Linked DNA regions of Lonchura striata. The protein of the gene in region 2 interacts with the protein of the main gene of each other region in a biochemical or structural test. Links are inferred from orthologs where the notes say so. Each region holds a gene or a part of one and is shown on either strand. Other genes may lie near its edges.

Evidence for each region.
Region 1: of the proteins of IKBKB (region 2) and MAP3K7, one has a biochemical effect on the other in vitro, tested with the Homo sapiens proteins (5 studies listed by BioGRID). The link is inferred for Lonchura striata from reciprocal best matches to the Homo sapiens genes IKBKB and MAP3K7.
Region 3: of the proteins of IKBKB (region 2) and TNFAIP3, one has a biochemical effect on the other in vitro, tested with the Homo sapiens proteins (2 studies listed by BioGRID and IntAct). The link is inferred for Lonchura striata from reciprocal best matches to the Homo sapiens genes IKBKB and TNFAIP3.
Region 4: of the proteins of IKBKB (region 2) and NFKBIA, one has a biochemical effect on the other in vitro, tested with the Homo sapiens proteins (58 studies listed by BioGRID and IntAct, with this or other methods). The link is inferred for Lonchura striata from reciprocal best matches to the Homo sapiens genes IKBKB and NFKBIA.

What each region holds. Positions count from the first base shown.
Region 1 is NC_134605.1:77,513,629-77,521,570, forward strand, and holds the start of MAP3K7 (mitogen-activated protein kinase kinase kinase 7), read left to right. Parts: upstream 1-4,929; 5' UTR 4,930-5,060; coding exon 5,061-5,150; intron 5,151-7,942. UniProt on the Homo sapiens protein: Serine/threonine kinase which acts as an essential component of the MAP kinase signal transduction pathway. Plays an important role in the cascades of cellular responses evoked by changes in the environment.
Region 2 is NC_134634.1:4,929,610-4,937,169, reverse strand, and holds the start of IKBKB (inhibitor of nuclear factor kappa-B kinase subunit beta), read right to left. Parts: upstream 3,012-7,560; 5' UTR 2,984-3,011; coding exon 2,879-2,983; intron 2,808-2,878; coding exon 2,713-2,807; intron 1,997-2,712; coding exon 1,879-1,996; intron 1,127-1,878; coding exon 1,057-1,126; intron 656-1,056; coding exon 567-655; intron 101-566; coding exon 11-100; intron 1-10.
Region 3 is NC_134605.1:51,072,759-51,079,878, reverse strand, and holds the start of TNFAIP3 (tumor necrosis factor alpha-induced protein 3), read right to left. Parts: upstream 3,011-7,120; 5' UTR 2,656-3,010; intron 1-2,655. UniProt on the Homo sapiens protein: Ubiquitin-editing enzyme that contains both ubiquitin ligase and deubiquitinase activities.
Region 4 is NC_134608.1:25,273,777-25,281,431, forward strand, and holds the start of NFKBIA (NF-kappa-B inhibitor alpha), read left to right. Parts: upstream 1-4,648; 5' UTR 4,649-4,744; coding exon 4,745-5,022; intron 5,023-5,329; coding exon 5,330-5,438; intron 5,439-5,950; coding exon 5,951-6,161; intron 6,162-6,635; coding exon 6,636-6,724; intron 6,725-6,863; coding exon 6,864-7,124; intron 7,125-7,619; coding exon 7,620-7,655. UniProt on the Homo sapiens protein: Inhibits the activity of dimeric NF-kappa-B/REL complexes by trapping REL (RELA/p65 and NFKB1/p50) dimers in the cytoplasm by masking their nuclear localization signals.

The DNA.
Region 1 (7,942 bases), on a different chromosome or scaffold from region 2:
CAACCTTTGATTAAAAAGATGTGACAGTTCATTCTATTTACTTCCATGCTCTTTAATATTCTCTCCATTACATTTTATTTTAAAGCCTACTGAGAGCAGAGTAATAGACACTTAGATGTCTGGATCTGTTTTTGCATCTTTCTAAAATACCTTTGCTAATTTATAGCTACCTACATTGACACCTCTGTTTAACACATCTTCCATCAGCAATTTCATGTACCATATCTTTCAGACTTCTCAGCTCAAGATCAACCAGTCTACAGTCATCTATCTCTTTCTTCTCCATGTGAAATTTGTTACTACCTTTCTCCCAAGCCAAGTCCAGCTGATGATAGCTGTGCCAGAGAAAATGTGTTTGTTTGGTTACAAGACTGAATCTATACAGTCTCTCACCTTTACTTTGCCCTTACTGCACAGTGGCTGCATTATTTGACTTTCCTGGCTCTCTTTTTGGTTTAGACTACTAGAAAAATCTTGGAGATCTAACACATCTCAGACTAAGAGGCAAAATAAGGTTCAGAAACAAATGTGATCATTTGAGTTTCTGTAATACTCATACAATAGAACTTTTCCTTTTACTAAAGTGAATACAATTCCTTGCATACAACTGAGTTTCCTATTTAGCAAAGCAGCTCACGCATTTATTTTGCAAAGCTTTTTTCAGGGTATTTTTAATATATGCATTTTATCACAAATAATAAGGAACACCCCCACTGAAGGAATTAATAGCTGTTTAGGAGATTTTACATAGTGTGGGGAAGTCTTCCCAGAATGCAAAAGAAGCAATAAAAATACATGAAGCATGCTGGGCATGCTATCTCAATGTATTTGGCAGAAGACACCTTTGTGATGTTTCCCAAGACTTTGCAAACGATTAATGCGGGACATAATTGAAGAACTCATTGAGATTCAAAGTAGAATCACACACAATATTGCAACCTGCTCTTGGGAAATATTAATGTACAAACCAAAGGAGTTGCATGAGAAGAGTGGATTACGCAACAACTTGGCCATGCAGAGAAACAGAAATCTCTCAATATAGTCACAGTGTTCTGTCTTCATGAGGTATTTCCACTGCACCTGCATTGGAACAAGCAGTGGGCTCCTCTTGGATGCCTCCTAGCTGGGATATGAATTTGTGGGGCACGTGTTTCATAGTGTTCTCCATACTACTATGGAGACATGCTCTTTAATCACAAAGGGTTCCCACAAATTGAAATAACGTAACTTCATATTTACAAGACAATATTTAACAGGGACAAAATAGAGTTAGACTTGGCAGAAACATTCCTGTGCTTAATCTAGAAGGGAACATTTTTTGATGTGGACATTACAGTTGCAGATACCATCCAGTATGTTCCACTGTTTTCTAGTTTCAATCTTCAATCACCTAAAGTGAAACATTTTAACCACTTTAAAAAAATGCATATACTAAAAATACAACAAAAGTTGAAGTCTTTTGAAAGAAGAAATCACTTAGCTTTTTTCTAAATTAGTGGAAAATAATGCTTCTTCACCCCTCTTTAAAAATTGTCAGAGTAACTTTAAGGGAGGTAGACAAAGGGTAGCCAGGATAATGTATCTGTGCTTTTGTCTGTATTCATGAAAATGTGTCCAAATTCTAAGTTGTACAATTCCATATTATATTGGATAAATTTTCATTAGGATCTGCAGATATTAGGGCTAAACTTCAGGTGTGTTAAGCTGTCCAGGTGGACTTTGTTTATATTTTGCATCAGACCTACTGCTGTCTCTTCTGAAAAAACAGAGCCCTATACTCTAGGACAGGTGTGACAAAGAGCTCCACAGCAGCTGTCTCAGCTTTGAGTGTGCACACTCTGGCTATGGTACCCAGATGTTTCCAACAATCTTCAAGTGATCACCCACCAGGCAGTGTAACTACTTTGCAATGTTAGAGAGAGGCTACTGAGACCCAGAATGTGGATTTCCCAGGTTCCAGGTTTTTCTCCAAAACACAAGAGCAGTTTTTGTCCAAAATAAACACAACAGATATAGCTTTTCTTTTCCTTTTTCTCCTGTATTTGTTGAATAAATATTTTGGAGATGCACAACCAATACTCAGTCCACAAAATAGCTAATTGTAACTAATTAAGATTATGTCAGTCGGGAAAGAAGGAAAAAAAAAAGTAATATCAAAATTACCACAGCCTTAAAACCCCTCCTGATCTTCACAGCAGTGACATTTTGATAATGATGATGATTCTGCCTTCACAAAGAAAGAGCTCATTATTTTTGATACATATTTCCACATCAATTTCTGAAAGGAAATGAACCTTACAAGCAACTATAATTGGAATGCTCTCTTCTGCTGTCTTAATACCCATCAACAAAGTATAACAAAGGTAACAGAAAAGTCTCTCCACTGAAAAACAGAAGACTGCAACTGCCATTTGCTTGATACATACCCTCAGGAGAGGTCTGTGAAACATAACAAAAAAACCAAATATTCAGTTACATTTACCAGAGATCACCAACTGCCAACGTCTAAAGCACAACCACCCTCTTGGCCATCTTTCTAAAAGGTACTGATGTAGTTCATCTTTCCCAATGCATATGTACCCAAAAAATAAATAAAACGTTAAGCTTTTGGCCTGAAAGCATGTTCATGACTACAACTAAGTATCAAGATTATGGATTTCAAGTATCCAGTGATGGATTTTCACACCTTGTTTTCTTTTCATTCATGCATTTTCCTTGGTTTCAGTTGACTTCAGGTGTTCCTTGTCTTGATCTACAAGTGTTTAAAGAACTAAAGCAATTCATTCAGCAGTATGAAGCCAGTATGAACCAGACTGAAAAGTCTGGTTTTTATTGAACTTGCAATTTTCTCAATCCCTCAGAAATCCATTTTCTTCATCTTCCAATAATCAATATATTGCATACTCCAGCAGCTGAGACAGCAGCAGCTGCTTACTCAAGTGATACACTTTCCTGTAAGTTGTGAAGTCCGGGTATAAACATGGCTCTTTATGACTGTGTCACAGCATGACCAAGACATGCACTAATAGTGGCTTTTGAAAAAATGAAAATTAAACACTTCACTGGGTATAAGGTGGTGCCAGGGTCTGTGTGAACATCCAAACCTATAAACAACCTGGAAAAGCAGGGGTTCTGAATAACCCCACTGCTGGATGAAGCAGGTCTAATATCTGCTTCGGATTTTAATATCTGCTGATATCTACTTCCAGATTTTGTGGTACTTGGACTAACAGAAGATTCTTTAGATCTTTCTACACCAAACCATATCTGAAAATCAAAAATGAACAGCAGAAACTCAGCACAGTCAGCATATGAGTCTGCTCGCCACGTATACGCAGATTGCTTGGGCAATGTAATTGCATCAACCCAACCAGTCCTGCATACGAGTTTCATCTTGCATGCCACAGAGTCAACATGTACTGTGACTGCTTGGCTGGGATTTCTGGACTGGTGTACATCTGAAAACCCTGTGCAAATTACAAAAGCTGACAGAAAAACACAAGAGGGGAGCAAACAACCCATAATGGCAACCTGCCACAAAGTGCAGCAGCTCTGATAGAGGTACTTTCACTTTGGCTTTTTAACAACAGCTGAGCCACCATAAGATTAGGTCACTTCCCATATTCATCCTTGATTTTTTTTTTTTTTTTTTACTAGTTAACTGTTTAAGTGACTTTCTCAGGCTAGCTCTGTAAACCAGATCTCTCTACATTTTTGAGACTTCCTTGTGAGGTACAGACATTCACTAGCATGCTAGCAGTGGAAGATCTAGGAAAGCTTACTAGATGTACTAAAATTACATACTATTAATAGTATTGTACAATAACATAACTTTTTATATATAGCCTGAAGGCTAAACATATAAAAATGAAGCACAGCTGTTTCAGGGGAACACAGCAGCTCTATTCACTCATCTCAGCACTGATTTCACACCATGGACTGCCCTGAAGCGTCAGTCTCAGACATTTCCCACCGAAACACTAATGGGGTGGGTGCTCCAGCCAAAAACAGGAGCAGGATACAGCCCTGGCAAAGAGCGGACAGGACTCCCTTGGAGAGGGAGCGGTTAAGGTGTACGTTCATCCCCCATCCCTTTAGTACTACTATCTGTTTACATCAACCGCTCCATTACCCCCACTCCTCAGCTGCCCTCCTACACACAGGTTTCCCCTGAGAAAGCACCGCTGAAGAGCACAAGGCCTGCCCTCGTCCCAAGACGCCGTACAGCACCTGCTGCCCTGGAGAAATACAGGCACACACCCAGGAAAAAGGCATGTGCGTATGTATGTAGGGAACAGGCCCCCGCGCTCGCAGGGCGGTACACGCAGCCCGGGACGGGGCCGCGCCTGGCAGCTGCCCGGACCCCGCCGGGCCCATCCCCGGCGGCAGGAACAGGAAGCGGGGCCGGCCCGGGGCCGCGGCTGCTCCCCCTGGCGGCGGCGGCGGGGCGCGGCGGGGGCGGTGCCGCCGCCAGGCCGTGGCCCCGCCGCGGCCGCCCGAGAGGCCGCTGCTGCCGGCGCTTCCCGCCCGCCCCCGCCTGGCGCTCCCTCCCTCCCTCCCTTCCCCGCTCTTTCACTCCGTCCCTCCCTCCTCGGCCGGGGCAGCAGGAAGCGGCTCTGATGTCAGCGGCGGCGGCCGCGGCGCGGCTCTGAGCGGCTCCCCCACCCCCGCCGCGGCCCCTCTCCCGCTGCCGCCGCCGGGGCTGGCGGAGGAGCGCGGCTGCGGCCCCGGGGGCGCCGCCTTCTCTCGCCCGCGGACGCGCGGCCGCGGCGGTCCCGAGCTGCTCGGAGGCCGCGGCCTAGGGCAGTCGGCGCGGCGCCCCGCGGGGGTGCGGGAGGGCTCGGGATGCGCAGCGGCGGCGCCGGGGCCTGTGCCCGCCGCCAGTGAGGCCCGAGGCCGCCGCGGATGCGGCCCCGGCGGCGCCTCGGCCAGGCCCGCCCCGACCTGCGCCGGGAACCGCCGCCGAGCCCCGCGTAGCCCCGGCTCCGGCCCTCGGCTGCCTGGTGCCGGACCCTCGCGTAGCCCCGGCCCCCTCTCCTCCCTGCGGTGAAAGAGGAGGCATGTCTGCTGCCGCCTCCGCTGAAATGATTGAAACCCCCCCGGTCCTCAACTTCGAAGAAATCGACTACAAAGAGATCGAGGTGGAAGAGGTGAGTGAGGGTCCCGCCGTGCCCCTCGCTCCCCGGGCGCGGCCAGCCTGGCCCCGCCACGCAGACCCCGAGCGCCCCCGGGGTTCCCCTCCCTGGCGCCGGCCCTCGGCTGCGGGAGGGTCCGCGGGGGCTTCGCGGGTGCTCCGGGGTGCCAGACCCCCCCAGTACCTGACCGGGGGTTCTCTGCTCCTGTGGATGCTACTGCGGCTGGCACCAGCGAACAAAGCGGTCTGGCTGGCTGAGAGCGGAGGTGCCAGCTTACTTCTGCCGGACCTGCTGCTGGATGCCTTACTGTGGAGTTTTGTTTAAACGGGATAGATTTATTCAGTCAGGACTTTAAAGTTTCGCCTCCCATTTTGCCACCCACTTTAGTATGGGTGGCAAGCATAGTTGTCAAGAGGGAACTGTTAACTCTAATGTTTCTTTTAGATCTCTATTTCTCTATGGCCCTGCTTTCACCTTCTGCCACCAAACTGAGCCATTGTGTATATAACGATCATGCTGCTCTTAATGATTTGCTAAATTTACAGCTCTGTGAGCTGTTACGATAAACAGGGTTTTTTTTTCTTAACATGGGCTAGTTATGTTGCACTCATGGATATTTAAGGAAGTCACATTCAGTAATTTTATAACAAAGTTGGAAGTTTTTCTTCTGTGAAATTCACATAGTGAAATTATTTCAGGTGTACCTTTCATCTGTCGGGTTCATGTGAAAGTAGGGGGGGTGTGATCTAGGGTAGCTCATATGCTTTGATAACAGGCTCAGTAGTCTCTATATACTACAGTGTTGTTTGACTCTCAGAAGTACACAAAAATATTTCTGCTGTTTTTTCCTGTCACCTACTGAATTCTCTACAGGAATAAAGTCTCTTCATGTAGATCTATAACAAATTTGATGAGTCCAGCTTGTAGAGTCTGGACTGCTGAAACAGTCCCTGTGCTTTTTTTATAGATTAACATTTTTCTCTTTAAGAGATAATTACCCTGTTTTCCTTAAAAAGTTTGTGTGGAAGTGGAGTTTTGTGTAGTAGCTTTTCTAGGTATGATAACCTGTGTCTCAGGTTTTTAGAGTAGTTTGCTAGATACTGGTTTGTTTATAATTATCCTACTAGGCTTGGGTCTCCTGAGGATAATTCAGGGACCTTAAAATCTGCCATGGGGCACCAGGGCACCTTCTGCTGTATTCAGGCAGTGTTGTGATAACTTCGGCTTTCACCATAGCAGGCACTGGGTGCTGGGAATTTTCAGAAGACAGTATATTTCAAAATACTGCCTTTATCTTTTTCTGTGAATTTGGCAACCATAAAGACTTTTGTTTTTGTAAGTCAAGTTGTTCTACCTGCCTTTATGCATTTAACTATTCTGAAGTGAAGTAATTTTGTTGTTTTTGTAACACTTAGTAATAGCTGGGGATCAAATAGCCTATTTTGGGAGAAATAGCATTTCTCACCCAATGAAGAAAGTTTAAGCTGGTTATCCATTGTAAAAAGGTGCCCAGTGATGGCTCACGGAAGTGAGTGCCACATCTGCTGTGTTAGATGTAGCCCTTTGAATTAATAAAGTGCTATACAAATCTTTAATCCTCACAACACACTTGGGGAGGTTGTTAGCAAGGATTGTATTGCTGTTTTACATGTAGGAAACGTGGAGCTGCATAGTGTGTAATTGGTGTAACTAGAGTTTAGTATTCTAAGGTTTAGTGCTCAGAGATTGACTGTCCCACACATGTGCCTGGTACTGGCAGAAACAGGATTGTCAGTACAAAAATGTATCTAGAGACAATGCCTAAGTAAAAATTTGTTTAATACAGTTGTTTTGTTATTCTCAACACAGTATCTTCGTAGAGATGCAAAACTCATGTGATATAAGCAAGAGAATAGAACTTTGATAGTGTCTCCATAAAAAAATCTTGTTAAAGCTGGCATATCGTTTTGAGTTAACCTGTCCTCCCAGAAGTTCTTATAGACAATGGGAATACCCTAGTGTTAAACACAGTCAAATGTCTTTGCACAGAGGAAGAAATAAGACCTACTTTACAAGAAAACAGATGGATTGGAAATCATACTTAGGTCTTGCTTTTCTGAGCTATGGGTGTTGACCTCTTACTCAGGATGCAGTTTCAGCACAAATAGTCAACTTTGTAGTCACATCAAAACACACATCCTTGCTGAGGATTTTCTGTGCTCTCACTTTAGGCTCAGAGGTTTTCAAGGATTTTAAGTGGCTGTATGTCTCAAAAACGTCTCAAAATTGTCATATTTATGCTTGGCAAACTTCAAATGTTTCAAAATGGAGTGTTAAGAGATCTACATTGGAAACTCAACTGCTTTTATAATCATAGCTTTGCTGTTGTATTATCAAGGCTGTCTTGTCAGCAGATAGCAGTCCCACTCTGACACTGGTTTATTAATAGATGTTGAAGTTCTGGAATACTTGCAGGCCCAGAGACCTTGCTAATAAACGTGAAATCTATAAGTACACTTTTCATTTAGTTTTGTCTGAACTCTACTGAGATAAAACCAAGAATTAACATATTTTCCTTTAGCTACTGTGCACATGACCAGCTGTAGTGTTACTTCCCACCAGTCAAACATATCTCCACCATCATAATGCCTTTTTGTTATTTCAAGTGCTTAAAATGAAGTAAACCATAGAGACAATTGTTATGAAGGAGTTGGAGTAAAATCAAAATCGATGTGACACGGCAGGAGCATCTTCAAAACTAAAACAGGGGAAACAACACAAAATTTAGTTCAACAGAAGTGCTCTCTATTTTACTATGCATGTGTTTG
Region 2 (7,560 bases):
CCTTTCTTACCAAGTACTGCAGAGTCCCAACAAAGGATGTGCATAGGCTACCCTGATCCAACTCCTTAGCATAACCAAGGTCAATGATTTTGTGTATTAACTGAAACACACAACAGAGAATAAGAGTGCTAGACCGAAATCCTGTTAAAAGCACATCATACAGCAGAAAGAAAATGTTCAGCTCTTCAAAGCTATACAGGAAAGGTGCTAGTGAAGAGGCAGAAGTAGAAATGGGAGGCTACTGTAGATTCCTTAAGCCACAATGAATTTGAAGGTGTCATAGCACACTTAGCAGTTATGTGTCTAGTTCCTTCCAATCTTAGGTCAATCAGTACAGTGTGGCTCTCTCCTTAATAGCTGAAAGTCGAAATGTCAGGTGTTAACAGATGTCTAATACAATGTCTTAGCTGCACACAGAATACTATTCATCTGACATAGTGGCCTGAGACAGGTGTTATCCTGGGCTGAGTGCTCTTGCAGAGGGACCATGTAACTGCATGAAGCACATGCATGCTCCTTATAAGCTTACTTGTCTGTGCAGGCAGAGACAACTGCTTCCTGCTTACCCTTTGTTCTCCTTGCTGCAGCACAATGTTCTCTGGTTTCAAGTCTCTGTGGATGATCCTGTTCTCATGAAGGTATCTGAGAGCAGAAGCTGAGACACACATAAAGGAAATTTTAAGAGCATAAGTAACAGTACCTAGACAAGATCAGTAAGGACTCGGTTCTATTTATGGCTTTCACATCAAACCTTGTACAATGAAACATACCATGAAACACTAAGTGTAAGGTGTAAAGTTAGCATCATAGAACTCTGGACACAAACTGAGTTCTCTCTCTGAATGTTCCCCCACATTCTTCCTTTAAACTGTAGTAACACTGGCTAGCTTCCAGTAGGCAAGGACCTCCCCAGACTCCCAACACTTTTGGTAGATGATCAAGATCATAAAAGGTCAGTCTAAAACTGAGTCACTAAGGTCACTGCTGTATATTTGGAGAGTTGATTCAGGACTAAAAAGGTTTCTATAGCTCAGACAACTGAAGGCTACCACTTACCAATGTCAGATAACAAGATAAGAATAGCTTCTTCCCGCAAGCCACAGCAATTCTCCAGCTGGTTCAGGTACTGCAAGTAAGCAACACAAAATGCAGTCTTTCCTTCCTCTATCCTGAGTGAAGCCCACAGTCCCGCAAATTCTCAGGGATACAAGAAATTTCAGCAACAGCAATTAAATTCTCCAGAAGCACAAAATTCTATGGGGTGTGACCTGTGACAGCAGCAATTACAGCTTCATAATTAAATCAGCCTTAGCTTAATTGCATGGGAGAATAAAGGAGTAGGTGAAAAGTCACTGTCATCCCATTCTAATCCTTCTGTTTGTTCCATCCCTCTTTGCCATTTCCCCTGTGCCTGCCAATATCAACTCCAATATGAGGCCTAAAGTCTGTGTTTTAGCTATGGGCAGATTACAGCAAAGGTCAGAAAAGCCTTAGGATTAGAACTATCATGTGTTATTTCTTCCTACAACAGACAAGAGTTAATCACTTTAAGGAAGGGTACAGCCTACAGATGCACCTACCCTACAATGGTCTTGGCCATACTCATATTCTGTTGCACATCCCTTACACTTGCCCTCATTATTTATGTGCAAACTCCTCACAGTGTCACTTGCATCCAAAAAACCAAAAGAGTTTCACAAAGCACTTAAGTCTTCAAAAGCTGAACATAGTATCAAGGACCAATCCACCAACAACTGGTGATGCCATGATAGAATTAGGAAGCCTCAGGATGTGAAAGCAAAGGTTCTAAGAGAACAGAAAACCCAGGATAAGATTAGAAGCTGACCCATTCCTTGGTTACCACCCCAGGGACCTCACCTTGCGGAGGTCTCCCCCTTGGCAGTACTCCATGGCCAACAGTGGCAAGTCATTTGGTGCGAGCTTCTGCATCCCTTCAGGGACATCGCGGGCAGCCACCACATTGGGATGGTTCAGTCTGCGGAACAAAAATTAGGCAAGTAGGCATGATGTTCTGCAACTGCTATACAATTTCACATGCTCCTGGTCATCACCTAAAGTGATCACAAATCCTTTTAGAAATTAAATGAGTGAATTCTGAAGGTTTGCATATTTCACGGATCTAGCCTCATTCAAACTCCTAGCATTTCACGTGCAAGACAGTGTGTTTCTTCAACACACATGCATTACAGATCTGTCTAGAAGGTACAGCAACAACTCTTGCAAGGAGTGCAAGGCAGTCTGTTGCCACCGTCCAGAAAAGACCCAAACTGCAATCAGACCACTACACCCGAAAATGCTAATCCAACACCCCAAGGGACAGACGTTAAGGCAAGCAAAGCAGCGGCTAGGTAGCAGCGTTGTTGTAGCGCTGAGGGCACAGCAGACGAGCCGAAGACGGCAGTGTGAAACCCAAGAGTCTCACGCAGCACCGTATGAAGTTTTCTTACGCGTGAACTTCCACCCACCTGCCGCCGAGCGGACCGGGCACCTCCCGGAAGGGGATCCCTTGGCGGCCAGCGGCCGAAAGCCTCTCCCACCATTTCCCTCAGCGCACCCGTCAGATCCGCGCTCCAGGGCCGCCTCCGCCACGCGTCCCGGGGCACCGACGCGACACCGCGCAGCGACCCCTCCGCCCGGCCCGGCCCACGCGGGCACCGGCCTCGGCCCGAGAACACCGCCGCCCCGCCTCACCTCTTCATGATCTGTATTTCCAGCGCCCAGCGGTCGCGGTTGCGCGGGCTCAGCTCCTGCCGGCACTGCTTGATGGCCACCTGCTCGCCGGTTTCCTGTGGACATAGTAAGGGTGGGCTGAGACCGGGTCCGGAGCCGGGGCGCCGCGGGCCCGGCTACCGCCTACCTTGTTGTGCCAGCGGATGACGTTGCCGAAACCGCCGGTGCCGAGGCGCTCCCGCATCTCCCAGGGCCCGCAGGTCAGCGCCTGCAGCGCGGGCGGGCGGCTCATGGCGGGCCCGGCTCCGCTCCGCGGGACCTGCGCTTCCGGCTCCGGCGCCAGCGCCCGCCCTTCCAGGGGCCGCGCCGGGCCGGCGCTCGGCCCGCTCGGGGCCGCCCCGGCGAGGAACGGCGGAGTCGCGATCGCCGTGGCCGCGATACCGCGTGGAGTCAGGGGCTCGGGATGAGAGGCGAGAACAGCTCGTGGACTGTGTAAGTAAAATTAAAGAGTTGCCGTCTTCTGCCCGCAGCATCTCCAAGATCTGCCAATCCGGAACGCACCATTTGCTTTTCCCACCGCACCGCCCGAGCCAAAGCGCTATTCTGGCTTTACATCGGGTTTGGCTATTTCTTCCTTCTGGGCTGGCTGGCGTGAGTTGCTTTAATACCACTGCAAAGATGCACAACAGTACGGGGGTGGAAACTGCTCTCCAAGATCTGCCACAACTCCAGTCGCCTGCGCTGGACCTGCCAAAGCCACCGGCCAGAGAGGGTCCCGCCGAGGTGACATGGGCCTACTGTGGGATGTCATGCTGTCACACTTCGTCACTGCCATTAAATAGTCCTGCTGAAATTATCCCAAGGATCAACGTAGAGAAAATCCAGTAGGTGGTGCTTGAGAGAGCAGACACTTTATTGCTGGCTTTCCTAAAATATGTTAAGCCCTACAATGGCACCACAGTCTGTAGACAATTATAGTTGTCCTTAAGCTCTGAAAAGCCAGGAAGTAATTTCTGAAATCTTCCCCCATGGCCATCAGTTTGTTAGCATCCTTAATCTAGAAATCAAATGGCTAGTATCTTAAAAAATAAAATAAATTAGCCCCTGCTCTCTCAGCAGTGTTCAATCTCAACAACTGGAAGTCCCTTCCAGAAACAGTCAAATGCAGCTACACATCAGATTTATGGCAGTAATGTTATCACTAGCACTGTGACTCTTGGAGAAATAAATTTTATAATCTTGACATAGATCTCCACACAGATAGAGTACGGGTGTTTCATCTTTACCATTATGCAAAATAACCAGTGCTGTGTTTTCCAAACGAGGTCTCTATGCACCTGCTTCTTAAAATAGAAGTCACTCACTCCACATACTGGTTCTTACATCTTATACTAGATTCTGTCAGGAGCTTGATTGCTAGTGTATCAGTTCCAAGCAGGTACGACACATTCATCACTGTAACAATTGCAGCAATGACTGTTTTCATAACAGTGCCCTAAGTTAATCACATTTGTCTGCCACGCTTTGATAACTGAATACTCATGACCACATTCTGGTAAGTAGATCTTCATTTTCTAGGGTGAGTAATATCAGTGAACATTTAACTCTGGCCCTCAACATGCTGTTCCTTATTTGTATCTAAAGTTCTAAGAAGTTTTGCTCATTTAACTTGAAAACTCCCCTGTTTCTTCTCCTGTGGCTCTGTTCAGGGCATGCTTTGCTCCACAATTGGGTCAAGGCCTCTCTGCCTGTGGGAACTCAAAATGTCTCTCAAACATTTTTAGAGGTTCCAAGCCTTAGTCAGAGGCATTCTAGACCCTGGCAGACAGCTGAAAAACAGCTGTAACTTTGAGTTGGGGCCATGGGGTGAGTTGCCAGCTTTGGAGGTGGAACAAGCAGTCACAAAAGGTTAGATAGTATAGTAAAAGTAATTACAAAGTAGAGGGGAATTTTTTTTTAGTATTGTAAAGGGGGGTTTTAGCACATATACAGGGGGGTTTTCACTTTGTACATGGGGGTCAGAAGTTCTAAGATGGAGGAAAGTGGGCTGATCCTGTTCTTCCTCCTTCTTTTTCCTTGCCTCCATGTTCTTGGTCATGTTGGCAGTCACAGATTGGTTTACAGTAGAAAAGCACTTTGTAATATAGGTAGTAGGTATTGGGGGAAAACTATAAACATGTAATACGTAATATATCATATAAAAGATAGCAGCAGCCCTGGGCGGGGAGAGAGACGAAGAAGACAGCAGATAGAGAGGATGTCAGGGTGTGTGTGTGCCTCTACCCAGGCCGCTGATCAAATAGCCGCAGTCCAAGAACATAATCTGTTAGATAACTAGCAATAAACTGCCTTGAGACTGAACAGCTAAAGCCTGTGGAGTTTTTCTTTGGAAGCACGGGTTGGAGGAGGAATTTCACCACCATATGAGACCCCAGAGCAAGGCTGTGGTTCTCACATCTGCCAAACATTTTCATTAGGAACACAGCACACTACACTTGTGTGTGAAACAGGAGTTTCTTGTTATTAGGACTAAGTCTACATACAGCAGACTTCTGATTATATTATAAATAATACAGCTGTGCATTCATTCATACTCCTAGAAGTATAATGGGACAGGACAGTTCGTTGTAAGGGATACATACTATTTTGTCATTGAACAATAAGGTATTCAATGGGGAAGAGATTGTTTTGAGAACTAAATCTGCTCTCTGACTGGAAAAGAGAAAGAACAAAACAAACTGGCTGTAAAATCCAGCAGCATTCCAGCAAGTAGCTTTCCTCCCGTCCTGCACAGGGCTCCCTCCCCAACAATCCGGATGCCAGCCGCCTGCTTGGACCATCCCCTAGATGCTCGGGAAGGGGTGGGATGCGGACAGCACGCCCCATGGCCCAGCTCCATCAGCACGCTCCACCCCCTCAAGTGGTGCTACAAGTAGGACAGAGAGATCAGAGCAGAGACACAGGAAACACAAACCCAGACTGGTCTGGAAAGAAAATCATCAAGACTACAGAAGAGAAAAAGCAAAAAGGTAGGCACTACTCTGCACCTGTTTCAAAAAGGGCATTTCCTGTTTTCAACATCAATGGCATTGTCATTAAATACTATTAAATATTATTATTTAATAAATCCCAATTTAATAAATGAAGTACCATGATAGTTAACTAACTGAACTATTGCCTTCCTGCTTTTGAAATAATTCATAGCGTAGGTAAAGATGCTAACTTTCAGTTGTTTCAAGAAAGCTGAAGCTTTCCAGGGAAAGGGCTGACATGCCTTTTTGTTCACATTTGATAAGTGACAGCTCTTTTTTAGGTCTTATTCCACATAGGTAAGATAATGCTTACATTATTACTGCTTAGGCTGTTAGTAATAATAGGTTAATATGTGGGATTTTAAGTGTTCCTGTTGACGATGCTTCAGCAAAAAGAGACAAATTTAAGGTATAATATAGTGTTCTATCCTAATGTATTTGAAAGTGTAGAATCAAAATGTCAGAACATCACATCTAGGTCTTTGACTTATTGGTCTAGTATTTTTGAGAGGCCTACCAGATGCACACTGCTTGCCGGTTTCTGCTTGGAGCCTTGTAAGCATACTTTTCAAACAGTCAAATTATTTCAATTTGACGGCTTTTCATTCCAGTTGACTGGCCTAAGTTGTACCTTTCCCAAAACTGAAAATAAATGTATGGCAACATCTGTTACCAGTTTTCCATGCATAGTGGGACAGCAGCTATCAGTGGATGGACAGGAAGAGGTGGGGGAAATGCTGCAGCGCTATAAGCTAAGATAGCCTGAACAGGGGCAACAGAAATCAGTGGAAGACAGGATGTGACATCTAATGTAAAACCACTTTAGAGAGACTATCTACAGCATTTTGCAGTATAAACACTTGCTGTGTATGGCTAGAACCTACTTGTACAGATGAATATATGAGTTGAACTTGATTAAGCCATGCAGGTGCTTTTTTAAATAGAGACTCCTCATGTCAGTCTTCCAGGCAAAGAAAGTATTAAAAAGACATTTTTAAGTTTAAACTACCTGCTGGTTTCAGGTACGTAGGACTTCTTCCAAGATATCAGTTAGGCCAGCTGTCCTCCCAGACAAAAAAAAAAACCCAAAACAAACAAAAATACCCCTTATGTTGTCTTGTTTTGGGGCATCTTAGCAGGTACCTCAGAAATAAGGTCTCAACAGTTCTTTACTGTGCTTCCCAGGCAGGAATTCTAACAAGGCAGCTCAGCTGTGATCTAAGTAGTTTCACTGAACAAAGCTTTTCTTGAAAACAAACGCCTTAGCTACCAGAATTCTGTTTCTTGCAGTTGTAAGAACTTCAAGCCTTTTCCACAGATAACAACAAAGATCACCTGTGATACCAACAATTAGCAAGTTAAAACATTGCTACTGTGGGATTCAGAACACAAGCCTGCATAGATGTAATATGGAACCACAGCTGCACGGAGTAAGGATACTACGCAGGGTTATGGCAGAAACCAAGCAACTGGATGGCAGTTCAGATCATTCACTTTGACTTTGGGAATGCTACTGATTTAGTTCAGATTGAATTGAAGTTGAAATTGAATGCTGAAAGTCAATTAATTGAAAATCACTTGTACCATTTTTAAAAAGGCGTGCCATACAATGCAAAAAGTTTCCTAAGAGCTGAAAATAGCTTGAAAATATATAAAAACTGTACTGTGAAATCTACAGACCAATACAAATCACTGAGATATGTGCCAAATTTTAAGGATTTTATCATTAATATGTGACTCAAAGATAAAGCATTGGGTAATTAAGGTCCTTGGAGGATGTTCTTGGGAATCTTTTTAGTCTGACTCACAGCTTAAGTCCCATCTTTTTGCAGCCTGA
Region 3 (7,120 bases), on a different chromosome or scaffold from region 2:
AAGACAAGATTGAAGGAAGGGAAAATTATCCTGGAAACTTAACTAATTGATAATTGTACACTGTAATCCCATATGCACTTGCTAAATTTCAGGACATTTCAAGCTCTTGTTTTGATAACATGCCAAAAAAAAAAAAAAGCAGTTAAAGACCATTTCAGATTCTACAGCTCATACATTCTGAGTAGTGATGGTCAGTAGAGTACAGAAAAAGCACAAATAATTGCAGGCTGTGCTAGTATCAGTCTCATACTTACAGTGGCCAGATATGGTAGATGAGGAATTTGTCACTCGAGGACAGGCTTAGGTTACTTTTCTTGAGGCTCTTTTTATTTTGTAAGTGGTAGAGCTATGGCTCAGAAGTGCTTATGCTGGTGTGTGGGGGTGCAGTGCCACTATTACTCAGTGGTAAGTCAACAGAGCATTTCCATTTGGCTCAAAACCCCCTATATATTTCCACAGTAGGACATGTAATGTTTGCTGCTCTGCATCCCTTTCTTCAGTAACTCTGGCCTCATGGGGTATAGCAGGAAAAACAAAAAAAGAAACCCATAACATCTCAAACTTGCTACACTCAAAGAAATCCTTACTTGAGGACACTAACTTTGTGGCTAGTTAGAGCCAAACGTACAGACCACATCCCTCAAAACCCCTGTCCACTACAGTAAGAACAAAAATAACAACAATAACCTGTTTTTACAGGGAGAGACTCTCCATGCTGTCCACAAACATTCTTGCTTTGTTTAAAAGCAAAGCAAAGTTTGTGTCAAGACAAATAAAAGTATGCATGCTTAAAATATTTAGAGTACAACTAGTCATATTAAGAGAATCCGCCACTGTGATTATGAATCTAAGGACAAGTATCAAGTCATATATATGTGTATCAATCTCTGGACATCAAGTACAGGGATACAAGAAACAACCAAAAATTGTTTATGCCACTATTAGGACGTTTTCTCATGGAGACTGGAGTCACGGAGAGAGGAAGAAGCCTGACAAGACTGACCAGGAAGGCATTCCCACGTCTATGGAGGCAGAAGACCCCTCTTGCACAGAAGGGCTTCAGGACCTCCTTCCCCACAGGTAAACAACTGCTCTCTCCTCTTCACCCAGACACCTCCATTGGCAACATCCACCTCCAAATGCCCAGCCAAAGCTTTTGAAAAGACCCTCTCAGGGTGAGAGGGGACCTCAAACTCCAGGTGCCAAGAGCTGAGCTCTATAACCTCTCTGAGAACCAGCTGCTGGAGAGATACAGGATAACACGACAAGCTCTAGAGGCAGATGAAACAGGTGATGCTACAAAGCCCAACTTTAGGGTGATGTCATTCACATGCCCTACGAACACTAGGGACCGTGTGCAGAGCTGTCACATCTTGCAACATATGGAAAAGCTTTTCTTTAGGGAATAAAGATGGCATATTCTTATCATTCCCCCATCAGCACACAGCCTTAAAATGAAAATTGTGTATTTTCTCATCCACTTTCCTCATAAATATAGTTTTACACATGCTATTTATGTAATCCTGTATTTAAATGTATGAATGTGTCTAAAAAGGAAATATAAACAACTCCTTACTAAACTGTGTAATAACCCAGCTCTACTTTGCTCTGAGACGACTAAAATATTGAATTCCTTACTTATGTTAGTAGAAATATTGAGTCAATGGGATTTTTTTTACACTAATAAAGACTAATCACATGACTAAGCACTACCGGCATCACCTCTTGAAATGGTTATTTCCAGCATTAAGTAACAAAAAACACTGAGTTTACAGAAGCAGTCACTGAAACTACATTATTCGATACTATGTTCTACTAGCATTTTTTCCCCTCCACACGTGGAAATTACTGCCTGTGCTATTTACAGTAATAAATGTGAACAAAGGCAAAAGCCAAGCAACACTTATTTTCAAAATCAATGTGATGAAACAAACAGAATTCAACTGACATCTAAGCTGGAGATTTAAAAGTAAAAAACTAACCTACAGTTTTATTAGTTTATAGTCTACTGTGCTTTGCTGTGTGCTATGCTACTTTAACCTTCTCACAAGTAATGACTAGGAATTCCCAGAAAGGAACAGCTGTAAACAATAATTAGAGACAGCATCCTTTCCAAAGGTGTAATGCTGAGGATGCTGGGCTCTGGAAAGAGGAATACTGTTCTGAGATCTGCCGATGGTTTCATAAATTATTTTCATTTTCTGTCCTCTATCTGAAAAACGGCAAGTAATAAACTTCTCCATAAAGTGCTACAAGTGCCTGTGCCTTTGCTCGGCACAAACCAAAACACAGTACTACTCTTTGCCAAATCGGAAGGCGAGGAGCGAGGCTCTTTTAAAGATCCCACAGCACTGGTTTACACGCAGTAAGTGTTCCGCGTTCTTGGTTCCCTGACCTACAACTCCGCTGGGGGCTGGGCGTGCAAGGCGGCACGGCCACGACACGGTGCAGCTCCCAGGAGAAGGAGCCCGGAGCTCCGGGGCGGATTTCCCCGCGGCACCGCAGCACGCTCGGCCGCGCCGTGCCCGCTCTGCGCGCCGGGCCGGGCACGGCGGGCACAGCGTCCCCGCCCGCGCCGGACCCGCCTGGTCCCCGAGGCGCCCTCCTGCAGAAGCGCTCCGGGCTCCGCCGTGCCCTGCCCAGAGCGGCGCTCACCTCTCCGCGGACGGCTCCTCCTCCGGCCGATCCTGCCGCGACTCCTCTCAGCAGCGAGGCTGAGGCGGTGGGACGCAGCCGCGCCCGGAATCCATCAATCCCCACCGCGCCGGAGCTCCTTCTTGCCCTTCTCTCCACCCTCTTCCCGCCGGAGCTGCTGCTGCCGCTGCCGCCGCTGCGGAATGAAGGGCTGAGCCCAGCCTCTTGTTTTTTTCCCTTTCTGTTTAAGCGCCTGGGTGAAAAAAAAAAAAAAAAAAAGGCAAGCAGATTGAAAACACAACACAAAAAACCCCCACCGGGGATTTCCACCGGCAGAGCACAGGGACTTTCCGGCCTGTGACAACACCCGCGGCCGCCGCCGCCAGGGGGCGCCGCCGCCGGGCAGTCCCGGCGCCTCCCCGCCCGCCGTGACTCACCCCCGGGATTTTCGGGAGCCGGGATGCCGTGTCTTCCTTCCTTTTTCCTTTCCTCCCGGGCAGGGGCTTGCCCATCCCGTCCCGCAGGCTTCGCTCCGCTCACGGGCCGGCCCGGTGTCGCGTCGCTGGGTCCGAACAGCTCCTTGTCGCCGCGCAGAGCGGCGCCCCGGCGGTGCCCCGCAGCCCTTCCGCTCACGGGCACGCGTGGCAGCGCCTGCCCCAGCACGGACGGAGCTGTGGGGTGCGGGTGCTCGGGTGTAGCTGCCCGCATCCCTGCCCCAGCATTCCAGCAGCACGTTAAGGGGGCCCGTCCCATGGAAAGTATTGTTCTTCCAGACGGTTTTCAGACCCAAGCAATTTTTTTTTTGTGGGTGTTTTTTTTTTTTTTTTAGCTTGTATGTGCTCCACCGTTTTGGCTCTGTATTGTACGTAACCACAAGTGACTTCATTTCTTCAATTAGAGGTTAGGCCGATATAGAACCCCATAGTCCCAATCTGCTGGTATTTTCGGCAGGAGATGTTAATTGTGTTTTAATTTGGCCCTGCTCAAGGTCAGATTGTTGCAGGTAAAGACCAGAACCGTGGGCTAAAACTATCAAGTTGGGGAGATCTTAAGTGTCTGAATATGATTGTAATTTCTTGACTGCAACTAGTAATTTATAGGAATCATTAAAATTAATTATTGTAAACAATGCACACCTTTAAACAATGTGCTAATATTGTGAAATATTAGCAGTGAAAAAACCTCACTAAACAAACCCCCCATATTTAAGGCCTGTTAATATGATTTATGGATGGGATGTATGCTGGAAAAGGGGCAGTTTCTAGCTCAACAGCCTTACAATCTGAAGGCACACAGAAATGAAATACAGTTTCTTGCAGGATTAAAACACTTCATCTTCCCAGATAATGAGCTCTTGCCTGTTCCTGAGTATCCACCTCTCCCAGTGGCAAGATGAGAAGCCAGGGTTGCTGCACACCTTGAAATCAGGTGTTAAATATAGACTCCTCAGAGAACAGGTGGATTTTGGAAGAGTTCAGCTTTGAACTCCTTCACCTCACTCCCAGTAGCAGCAGCTGGCTCAGATCATTTGCTCATGTCACACAACAGGCTTATGTGGCAACATGATCTTTCCCAGGGTTTACAGGCCTGTGCTGGCTCTGCACAGCAGCCCATCCTTCTCCTCTGCCTTTGTTCAAAAAGAAGTCAGGGATATGGCCAGGAAAAGAATAATCCCTTCCAGGTTTCTTTTCCTCCTCTCCTCGGATAATTTTCTTTTAAAGGTTTTTGTGGGTGTGTTATTTTTTCTTTTTGTTCCCCTAGCCTCTCTATTGTCTTGGAAAGTATAGTTGGGTAGGAAGGCTCCACATTTAATGATTGATAACCTGAAGGGTGGCTAAAATCCAGGGAACTGGATGCCTGAGGGAACTGGGCTTGCATAACTAGGGCAGCATCCCTGCTGTGATTTATACAGTATATATTTCTGTCAGCATCTTACCGGTTCCCTTCTCCTGGACATTTTCCCCTGCTCTCTCATTGGGACTGAGGTAGCAGATTACTGAAGTCATCTGATTAGAGGAAAAAAAAAATGTTTCTATCAAAACATTTCTCTCACATAATATGAAGCCCAGCCCCCGACAGAGTTTTACAGAGAGTACTTCAAATGATGGAGGGCTTCACTGTTGAGTAGGAATGATGAGCTAAGGTAGGGAGTAGGGAAAAAAGAGCTGAGTTGTACCCTGCTTTGTATAGGAAGCTGCAGCAAATAAATTAACAAGTAGACCTAGCCATGATGGAGATGCTGAGACTCAGGAAAACCTGAAAAGGCAACAGCTTATTTTTGGTTTCTAAATGGTAAGCGTGTCTGAATATTAATAATTACTGTTTACACCTTGATAAACTCAAAGTTGATTGCACATTGCTAGAGCAGATGTTTATCAAACAGGTCTGAGCAGGATGGCAGGAATTCATTTGATCTGAGTTTGCACAGCACAAAATAAAGTTCTGTCTTGTCAACCATAACTCCTCAGCAATATAGGAATACATTAGAAACATCAGCAACATCAGTAGTTATAGAATGCATGAATATACATTCCTCTTTTCTGAATGACTCCTGGGTTTTGTTTTTTTTGTAGCTGTACCCTATAGTTTATCTCATAATTTATAGTAAAATGTTTATCTTTCATTAGATATAAACATAGAGACAGATGTATAAAGTCAAGGAAAATTTTCTTCTTTAAAGTGCGTATGTAAATACGCACATATACATACACATAACTATGTACATATGCACATATATTTTTAGGTATATATGCATGTCTGTTTCTCTTGAGGGAAGAGGGAAGTTCTTGGTATTAAGGACAGAATAAGAAATACTTTCATTTTCAGCTATCTACATTCTGGTTAAGCATAAGGGTGAAACAGTCCACCCTTGTAAGTGGTAATGTTTACATAACCCTGGAGAAAGCTGTCACTGGGAATTGCAGAATATCCATTTTTTGTGAAAATTTAAGTAATCAGTTTCATGCACATAAATCAATAACAATTCTTTATTGTACTTGGGAAAAAAAAGAAATCTCTCAAGGCCCCATTCAGCTCTATATCTCTAAATTATTTTAATTACTTTGCTTCTTTTTACTGTTCAGGAAGGAGTAGTTCCCACTCACTAAATTAAACCAAGACCTCAGAGTGTTCAGAACACCATTGCCAAATGTTTGAGAGGCTGCACTAAGAAAGACTCATAGTTAAGATAGTACTCATATAATATTCAATGCTAGGATGATGACTATAGTAATATTTATGCATAGTGACATACAGACTTTTAATAATTCAATCATTTGCTGTGTCTTTTAATATCAGATAATTCTGTATGAGGTGTGATTCATCTAGAAGGGAGGAAAAGGATCATTAAAGGGAAATCCCTTTTAATGCAAGAGCAGTGCTTGAGGTCATGCTTGAGTTCAGCACTTCTGTCTTCCAGGAGCTGTTCCGTTGCTTCTTTTCCTGGTGGAAAAGTGATAAGAGCTTGTCAGTGCAAAGGAAAGAGAGGGGGGAATATCCCCTAAACATTTATCAGACAGAAAGATGGTGCTTATTACTGAATCAAGTATTGACGGTAAAAAAAACAAACAAACAGAACCAAAAAACCCCAAATCATGTCTGCCACTTAGATAGCAAGAGCTGAACTGGTTTTGGGATTTTTTCCATTACACTCATCTGAATCCAGTAAAAGAAACTACAGATTCCAGAGAAGAGGTTTACCAGGGTATTCTGGCAAGTGACTGTACTGGAACTAGGGATTCTTATTTATGGCCCAGGGGGCCAAAGCTTCCTTTGCTTTTTTTTTTTTTTTTTCCCTTTTTGTTGTGTGTGTGCTTATTTTCCCCTTCTTTTTAATATTTGTGAGAGAAGTGTCAGAAGTAAAGGTCTGGAACTGCAGTGGGTTCAAAGAAGCTGAAAGTTCAAATCTTGCCTTAGCCCCTTTTGTTAACCTGAAGGTTAAGCTGTAAGCGTGGTATTCCCCCATTAAGGCTGGTGAAGCACTGTGAAAAATGAGCTATGGAGGCAAGCACTAGACATTTTTAAGAACAGGTTTTTTTACCTGTAAGGGGATTAAGTATGGCATTAACCACACCGTATACTTACCTCCTGGTCTGTAAATAAGTTTCAGCAATGTTGTCTGTGAAGTGCATAAAAAAGTTTAAGCGATTATGATCTTTGTAACTTGTTTTTTATTCCTCTGATATCTGTAGATACTGCAGCAACTCTCAGGGCCCCTAAAAACTGCAGACATAGCTATGTATAGTTGCATTAGAGACAGCAGCACAGTCCAGCGTTACTGACCCTCTTCAGTGCACAGTACAGACAATTCCAACAAGGCGCCAGCAAGAAATAAGAGGAAGACCAATATTATTTCTGTTTTGGAGAGCAAAGTGATTTCAGTAGATTTTGATGCAGACTCAGACTAGACATGTGGCTAAACTGAATATGTACAGCAGTAGTAAGCCAAATCAAAGGTCCATTGACCTCACTGCCTTGTTTCTCACAG
Region 4 (7,655 bases), on a different chromosome or scaffold from region 2:
ATTTCAAATTACTTGACTTATGTTTACCCTTAAGGCATAACAACAAAAGCAGTTTAAATTGATACAGTACATCTCATCCCTAAGGATCCCCAGAAATGCAACCAATTGATAAACATCCCACAGTTCATGCAGAGAAATACAGACCTTCCCAGAGATGCAATGCATCAGTTTAAGCCTTGCTAAAAATAAGCTGAAGTCAAAAAATAAAAGCAGACTAGAAGACTAGACTAAAAGCCAACCAGAACTCTAGATCCATTAGACTCTGGTCAGGACACTCCAGCTAATTATATTTTTATGTCCGTGGCACATGGGTAGGACTTTAAATGTCCTAATTTGGACCTTGGCTTTATGTGCCAAAAATTACCCTGCAGACTATTTACTTGGATATCATACCAGCTTAAATAAGGTGCAGAAATGCTTCCTACTGCATCCACCATTCTGCTCTTTGGAGTCTATGAGCAACCCAAAATAGCCTCTGATGAAAAGATTTGAGAAGGTAGGAATACAGGCCACATGGCACATGTGACTACCTTTTGCCTTCATCCTGGCTGACAAAAATTGACTTTGCATAACTTTCCTTTCTCTCTTTTGGCTGTTTTTTTTTAAGCTTTCAAATTAGTTACTTATTATTAGAAAGCAGGAGGGAAATATGTTTTCCTTGTTTACCATTGGACTAATTGTTCGGAGCTGCCTGGTTCTTATCTCTGTAGCAGCTGTAAATGGGCAACTGAGATATGTGGATTTTAACTGCAAAATATTATCAAAATTACAATGTCAAATGTCCCCTGGCTTCCCTTGGACCAGCAAAGTCCATAGACTTTTGAAGCAACAAACCAGAGTCCTATTCCAAGGGGTATCTGCACGTGCACATGCAAGTACAGACAGCAGGTCTACTTCACTGATTTGTTTTGCTTTTGGCTTTAACATCCTGGGCCAAGATCTTGCTGGATGTTGTTAACTGATAAATTTCCTGATACATTTCATGGGAGCCACATACGGTCTTTGCGATTAAATGAGAGGAATCAGTTAACGGGTATCTGCAGCAGCAGTCACAAAAGGATGAAGTTGTGGGACCAACTCTGGTAAATCAACAGCACTAGATGGTTGTCATGATTAGTGTGGCAATCAGGAAATTACAATTTAATGTGTTTGCTGGAGGAAGCAGCAAGAATTCTTCACGTAGTTTTAAAACAGATTAAAACCCTACAGCCCCTTCTCAGTATCCAGACACTTGAGGCTGCTTCTCAGAGCCCTGCCAGTTGCTTTCTGCAAGGTAGAATAAAAACAAACATCACATCTCTACAGCACCACAGCCTTGCCAATTGAGTGCTCAGGGCGCCTAAAGTGGAGGTGGCTTTTGTAAAACGTAGCTCTTAGGTATGAGCTGCAAAACCACCTCCCGTGGTTACAGTTTTTACATTGTTAAAGTAACTTTTAGGTAGTCCTTTGGCATTGAAGTACCTGCTGGACCAGGCAGCAGAGACTGCTAACATAATCCCAAATTAGAAATGCAGAGAATATTAATCTCCTCTCAAAATGACAAGCACAGAAAACACTTCTCTGAAATTAATGCAGACATAGCAGAGGTATTAAACCAGAATACACAAGCAGACAAAGAAGGTTCAGGTTGACACAGATGACTGCAGTGGTTATGAAGTTTTGCTCCTTTTTCATCAGGGTTCATGAAGTTTTGCTACCATTTCAGCAGGGCCAGCCCCTGTCCCTGGATAGGTACAGCTGCTCCATCTCCTGGGGGCCTGTCTGAGCTCCCCAGAAAGGCAACACTTGGGTGAGAGGCAACACAGGAAACTAGGTTTGTGATAGGCTCCACCCTATATCCAAAAAGCTGAGCTTATTTCTTTCTATTCTTTTTCTCTTGTGGACCATACAGAAAATTGCATAGAAGAACTGCTTGAACGTGATAATTTAAATAAATAAATAAATAAATGAAAATAAAAAGGAGAGTACTTCAACAGCACAAAGCAGGACCGATGACCTTCACCACTCCAACACCTTTGCTTTATGCTATCCTCTATTATGTCATCCCTTCAGGCAAGTATTGTACGACTGTGCTGACTGCGAGGAGTTACAGGGAAGACAACAGCCTTATTTGCTTAATTGATAATGAGGTCTCCACTGGCCTCTGCATCTGCAGCTAGCTGCTGCTTTGCATATGGGTTTAGGGCAAAATCCCTTCTCCAGCCTGCTTTTCGTTGCCTAATACCCAGGTTACTGGCCCATGTGTTGGCCCCCCCATGACATCTAGGGCCAGGCTGCAGAGCATCAGCATCTCCCTGAGGCAGGAAGTGGGCTGGCCTCAGCGTGACTTTCCATCCAGAAAACATTTTCCATCAGCTTTCTGCCACCTACAACTGGCTGCAGTACTGCCAAGTTAAAACACACACAAAATAAAAGCATCTCGTGTGCCTCTGAAAAGAGGCTGCTTGCAAATGCTTGCTAAAAATAGCCCTGTGGTGGCCTGTGAGGGCAGCTGGAGGTCTCTTATAGAAGGAGGCAAAGAATTCCCTTTGCTGATGTTAGTTTACAGCCATCACAGCTAGGACAGGAGTTTTCAAGTTTAATGTCTGTGTAGTTCTAGCAAAATCCCAATTGCACAGAGCAAGGTCCTTGCTGAGCTCAATTCCCCTGCTAGTCAGAACAGTCAGCTTGCTTTTCAACTCCCTTCTTCCTTTTCTGAAGAGGTGCGGATAGGACGAGATTCATTTGTTAATTAAATTTCCCCTGCCAATTTACATTAGAAAGGGGGAACTGTTTCAAAAAGCTCGCGAAACTTTCATAACCTTTAACTTTAAAAAGAAAGAATTTTACAGCTTTTTTCTAAACCTGCCCAAAAGCACCACTGGATTGTCCCAGGCCAAGTGATGAATACTGAAAAGAAGTCCAGGAATGGCACAGCTGGGCTGAAAATTAGAAACACTTGCTCACAGAAAGACAGGCATTCTTCCTCTCCTCTGGCTCTTTCGTTTTCTTTGGATTTTCCCCTAAGTTCTAAGTTCAAAGGGATGCCATCCCATGGGAAAATGACAAAAGGAAAAAAAGTACAGACTCTGTTACTCAGTGAGGCCAGCAATAGTTGCAAGAGAAGAAAAATTCTTCCTGGGAATCCCCTACATCTGAGAAGCAGAAGCAAAAATTCACCAGGAAAAAAATCACTGCCATCAGCTCTGCAGACAGACAATGCCTTTTATCCATGTGGGATCCTGCATTTATCCAGTTTTTATTACCCACGGATGGCATAACAGCAGTAAAAAAAAAAAAAAAAAAAAAAAAAAGGCAAAAAGCAGAGCAGAGTCACTAGGAATAGCCAGAGAAAGTAAGAAGAGTGGCTGAAAATGTAATTTCTTCTTTAAAAGGTTTGTTTTGTTATGGAGTGAAAACTTCCACAGCAGAGATGCAAAATCCTCTAAATGCTGAGGCAACACCTGCACACTTGCAGGCATGGCAGCGTAACACCCATCATGTGCAATACTGCCTGAATCCCTCCAAGAAGCGACACTCCTCACCAAGCAGGGCAGATGCAGTGCACTGATGCAGTAGCAGCCTCAGCATTGCTCTGCTGGTGCTTGATTCGCTGACATTTTACCATGACTTTGCTGCCCTGGGTTTGCTAAAAAGCTTGCTCCTCATCGTTAGGTAAGTGCTGGTTAATGAACTCCGAAGGTGGTCCCTCTCATCAGACTTCAAAACGATCCTCACAAGGCTCAGGGATGTCATTGTGCAGACTGTGCAAGAACGAGGTGCCGTGCTGCACCGCACCTTGTGGGTGATGGAGCTTCTAGGAGTGTCAATGCTTACGGCGAGACTCCCGGCAGGACCACACCGCAGCCCTGCAGTGCTTGAGGGCAGCCTATAAAAACAGATAGGGACAGCCTTTGTAGCCGGGCCTGCTGCCACAGGACAAAGGGCAAGGGATTAAAACAGAAGGAAGGTCAATTTAGGTTAGATATAAGGAAGAAGATTTTCTACAATGAGGGTGGTGAACCCTCTGGGCAGCCTCTTACTGCTAGAGATTGCCCAGAAAGGTGGTGGATGCCCATCCCTGGAAAAATTAAAGGTCAGGTTGGATGGGGTTCTTATGCAGTTGGAAGATGTTCCTGCTCATGGCAGAGGTGTTGGTCTGGATGGGCCTTTATTTTCTCCTAAACTGTTTTTCGAAGGAATGGCATGCCATGGGAAAATGACAAAATGGAAAAGAAAGCAGAAACCCTCAGTCAGAAATAGTTGCCAGACAAGGGAAAAACCCTTGTTTTCTGAACCCTTCCAACCCAAATTACTCTGATTCCGTGATCCCGCAGTCCCTCTTAGGAAAGTTGCGGAATGTCAGGGGGGACGCGGGGTGCACTGAGGCGCCCCTCGGCCTCCAAGGGGCCCCGCAGCGCGCCCGGACCCCGAGGAGCGGCGGGACCGGCCGGGGAGGAGGCGTCGGAGCGCCGGGACCGGGCAGGGTAGGGCAGGGAAATCCCCGCGGGGCGCGGCAGGGAAGTACCGCCGGGGACGCCGGAGCGGCGAGAACTTCCCCCCTGGAAAAACGCCAAGTTCCCTCTCGGCCCGGCCTCTTCCCTCCCCTCCGACGCCCCTTCTGGGCGGCCCGAGCCGCTCCGCCCGCCCTGCCAGCGCCGGCGGCGCCGAGCAGGACCGGACCCGTCGGTCGGGCTTTGAGTGGCTGGAAATTCCCGTCCTCCGCGGCTCCTCCCCCGCAGAAATCCCCCGGGCCGCGCGGTATATGCGAGCCGCCGCCGCCGCCGCCGCTCACTCGCAGCGCCCGCGCTCCGCCGCCATGATCGCCGCTCGCCGCGCCGCCGAGCCGCCCGCCATGGACGGCTACGAGCAGCCCAAGAAGGAGCGCCAGGGCGCCTTCCCGCTCGACGACCGCCACGACAGCGGCCTGGACTCCATGAAGGAGGAGGAGTACCGGCAGCTGGTGAAGGAGCTGGAGGACATACGGCTGCAGCCCCGCGAGCCGCCCGCCTGGGCGCAGCAGCTGACGGAGGACGGGGACACGTAAGTGCGGCCGAAGCCGGGGCAGGGGCGGCTCGGACGCGGCGGGGAGCCCGCCCGGCCGGCGCGGGACAGGATGTGCTGGCCGGCGGGGCGGCGCCGCGCCGGCAGCGAAGGGAGGGGGTGCGGAAAGTCCCTGGAGCGGCGCCAGCGAGAGGCGGCTCCGCGGCCGCGGAAAGCCCCGGCCGCGCCGAAAGCCCCGGCTTGCGACACCCGCGCCGGAGCCGGGCCGGGCCGCCGGGCGCGGGGCTTAGCCTGCCGTCGGGGGGATAACGCGTGTCGCTTAATGAGTGCTTTTTTCCCCCTGCAGTTTTCTCCACTTGGCCATTATTCACGAGGAAAAAGCCCTGAGCCTGGAGGTGATCCAGCAGGCAGCCGGTGACCGGGCTTTCCTGAACTTCCAGAACAACCTCAGCCAGGTACTTTCACCTCCATAACCCCAAATCTGGATCAGCCCCTGCCACACCCACACACTCCTTCTGGGGAATTCCCCCAAAAAAGTCCCTTTAATTTTTTTTTTTTTTTTTTTAATTGATGGAATCAATTGAATCAAAGCCTACGTTCAGGAAAGTCCCCAGCTGGCTCCAGCCAGTATTGGTACAATGCTTCCTCTCCCCTGGGAGAGTGGCATTTAACGCCCACATTTTTCAAATATGATGCCATGGGTTGCATCCCTCTTTATGGAGATGTTAATGATACCCTTCATACCAGCTGGCGGTTGGTTTATCCAGAGAGCCCAAAGTTCATCACTTCCAGATGAATGGGCAACTATACAGCAACTTGGGAAGCATAAAGAACTGAGTTCTGGGTGTGCTTTCATGCTTTTATTTGTTGGCACAAATCACAAAGTGAACAAGAGGTCTGCTTGTCCAGACGTTGGTGCCAAGTTTGTGGTGTAACTTACAATCTGCTTTTGCTCTTATGCTTGCAGACTCCTCTTCACCTGGCAGTGATAACTGATCAGTCTGAAATTGCCGAGCATCTTCTGAAGGCCGGATGCGACCTGGAAATCAGGGACTTCCGAGGAAACACCCCCCTGCACATCGCCTGCCAGCAGGGCTCCCTCAGGAGCGTCAGCGTGCTCACGCAGTACTGCCAGGCACACCACCTCCTCGCTGTCCTGCAGGCAGCCAACTACAATGGTACGGCCACACTCCTGAACACTTCGTCTTGGTGTGCTGCACTGCGGGTAGGGTCGGTCTCCTGTGATCTCAAAGATCTCTGGAGAGGTGGAGAAGGATTATTATGTCCCATTTGAGAGTTGAGGAGCCCAAAGCAGTGTCTGACTTTTTTGAAGTGAACTTTCTTATAGGCCTTCTCACTGTTGATTATAGTCTCTCATGGCTTTCAACTTTGCATCTTTAGTGACTGCCTTTGCTGTGCACCTTCTTTTTTGTTAGTAACAAGTTGCACTCAAACACTGTAATAAAGCCTCCAAGAAATCTTTTCAAAATCCAACCCTCTTATTTATACTGGAAGCTAGAAAGCTCTTCTGGAAAACACCGTTTTGACATTGCAAATTTAGATTTCATCCTGGCCTATCATCTTGCCTTTTAAGTAATGATGAGGCATTGAGTTAGACTTACTCAAGTTTTCCCTTTGTTTGTGTCTTCCAGGACATACGTGTCTTCATTTAGCATCTATCCAAGGATACCTGGCTATTGTCGAGTATCTGCTGTCCTTGGGAGCAGATGTAAATGCACAGGTATGTAATGTGTACCATGAATTTAACTCAGTGGGGCTCTTAATCAGTAGATTGGAATCAGCAGTAGTCTTACAAAACAGCAGATCTGACAATGGCTCTGCTCTCCTAACATGCTGAACCTTACACTGTTTTCACACAGGAGCCATGCAATGGCAGAACAGCACTACACTTGGCGGTCGATCTGCAGAATTCAGAACTCGTGTCGCTTTTGGTGAAACATGGGGCAGACGTGAACAAAGTGACCTATCAGGGCTATTCCCCCTATCAACTCACATGGGGCAGAGACAACTCAAGCATACAGGAACAGCTGAAGCAGCTGACCACAGCTGACCTGCAGATGTTGCCAGAAAGTGAGGATGAGGAGAGCAGTGAATCGGAGCCTGAATTCACAGAGGATGAAGTAAGTAGCTGTTTTCATTTTTACAAGAGAAAGGGGAAAATTCTGTTCTGTGCAGGGTATTTTTTGGTGCCACTCTGATAGCTTGCCCCAGTGACCTCTTGCTGTGTAACAGATAGCTATACCAAAGATTACGCAATCAGCAAAATGGCAGATGAGGCAAGCATGTAAATGGAGTAAGAATAAAATGTAAAAAATAGCACGAGGGAATGGAGGTTAATTTCATGCAACGGTTCTCTGAACACAGTTCTGTTGCTGACACAGAACCTCATGAGAGAAAATTCAAGTTAGTGGGTGGTTTTCTCCTCCCTATAATTTGTTTTTCTGACATTCTGAGTGCTGCATTAAATGGCGTATGTAACCATTTTGGTGTAGAAATTTTATACACTGCTGAAGAATTTGTATGTAGAATTTGGCTGTTATCCCAGAATGGATATGATACTTCAAGTAAGATTTTTGCATTAACAACAGCATTTTGGGTTTTTTTTTTTCTTGCAGCTTATATATGATGACTGCCTTATTGGAGGACGACAG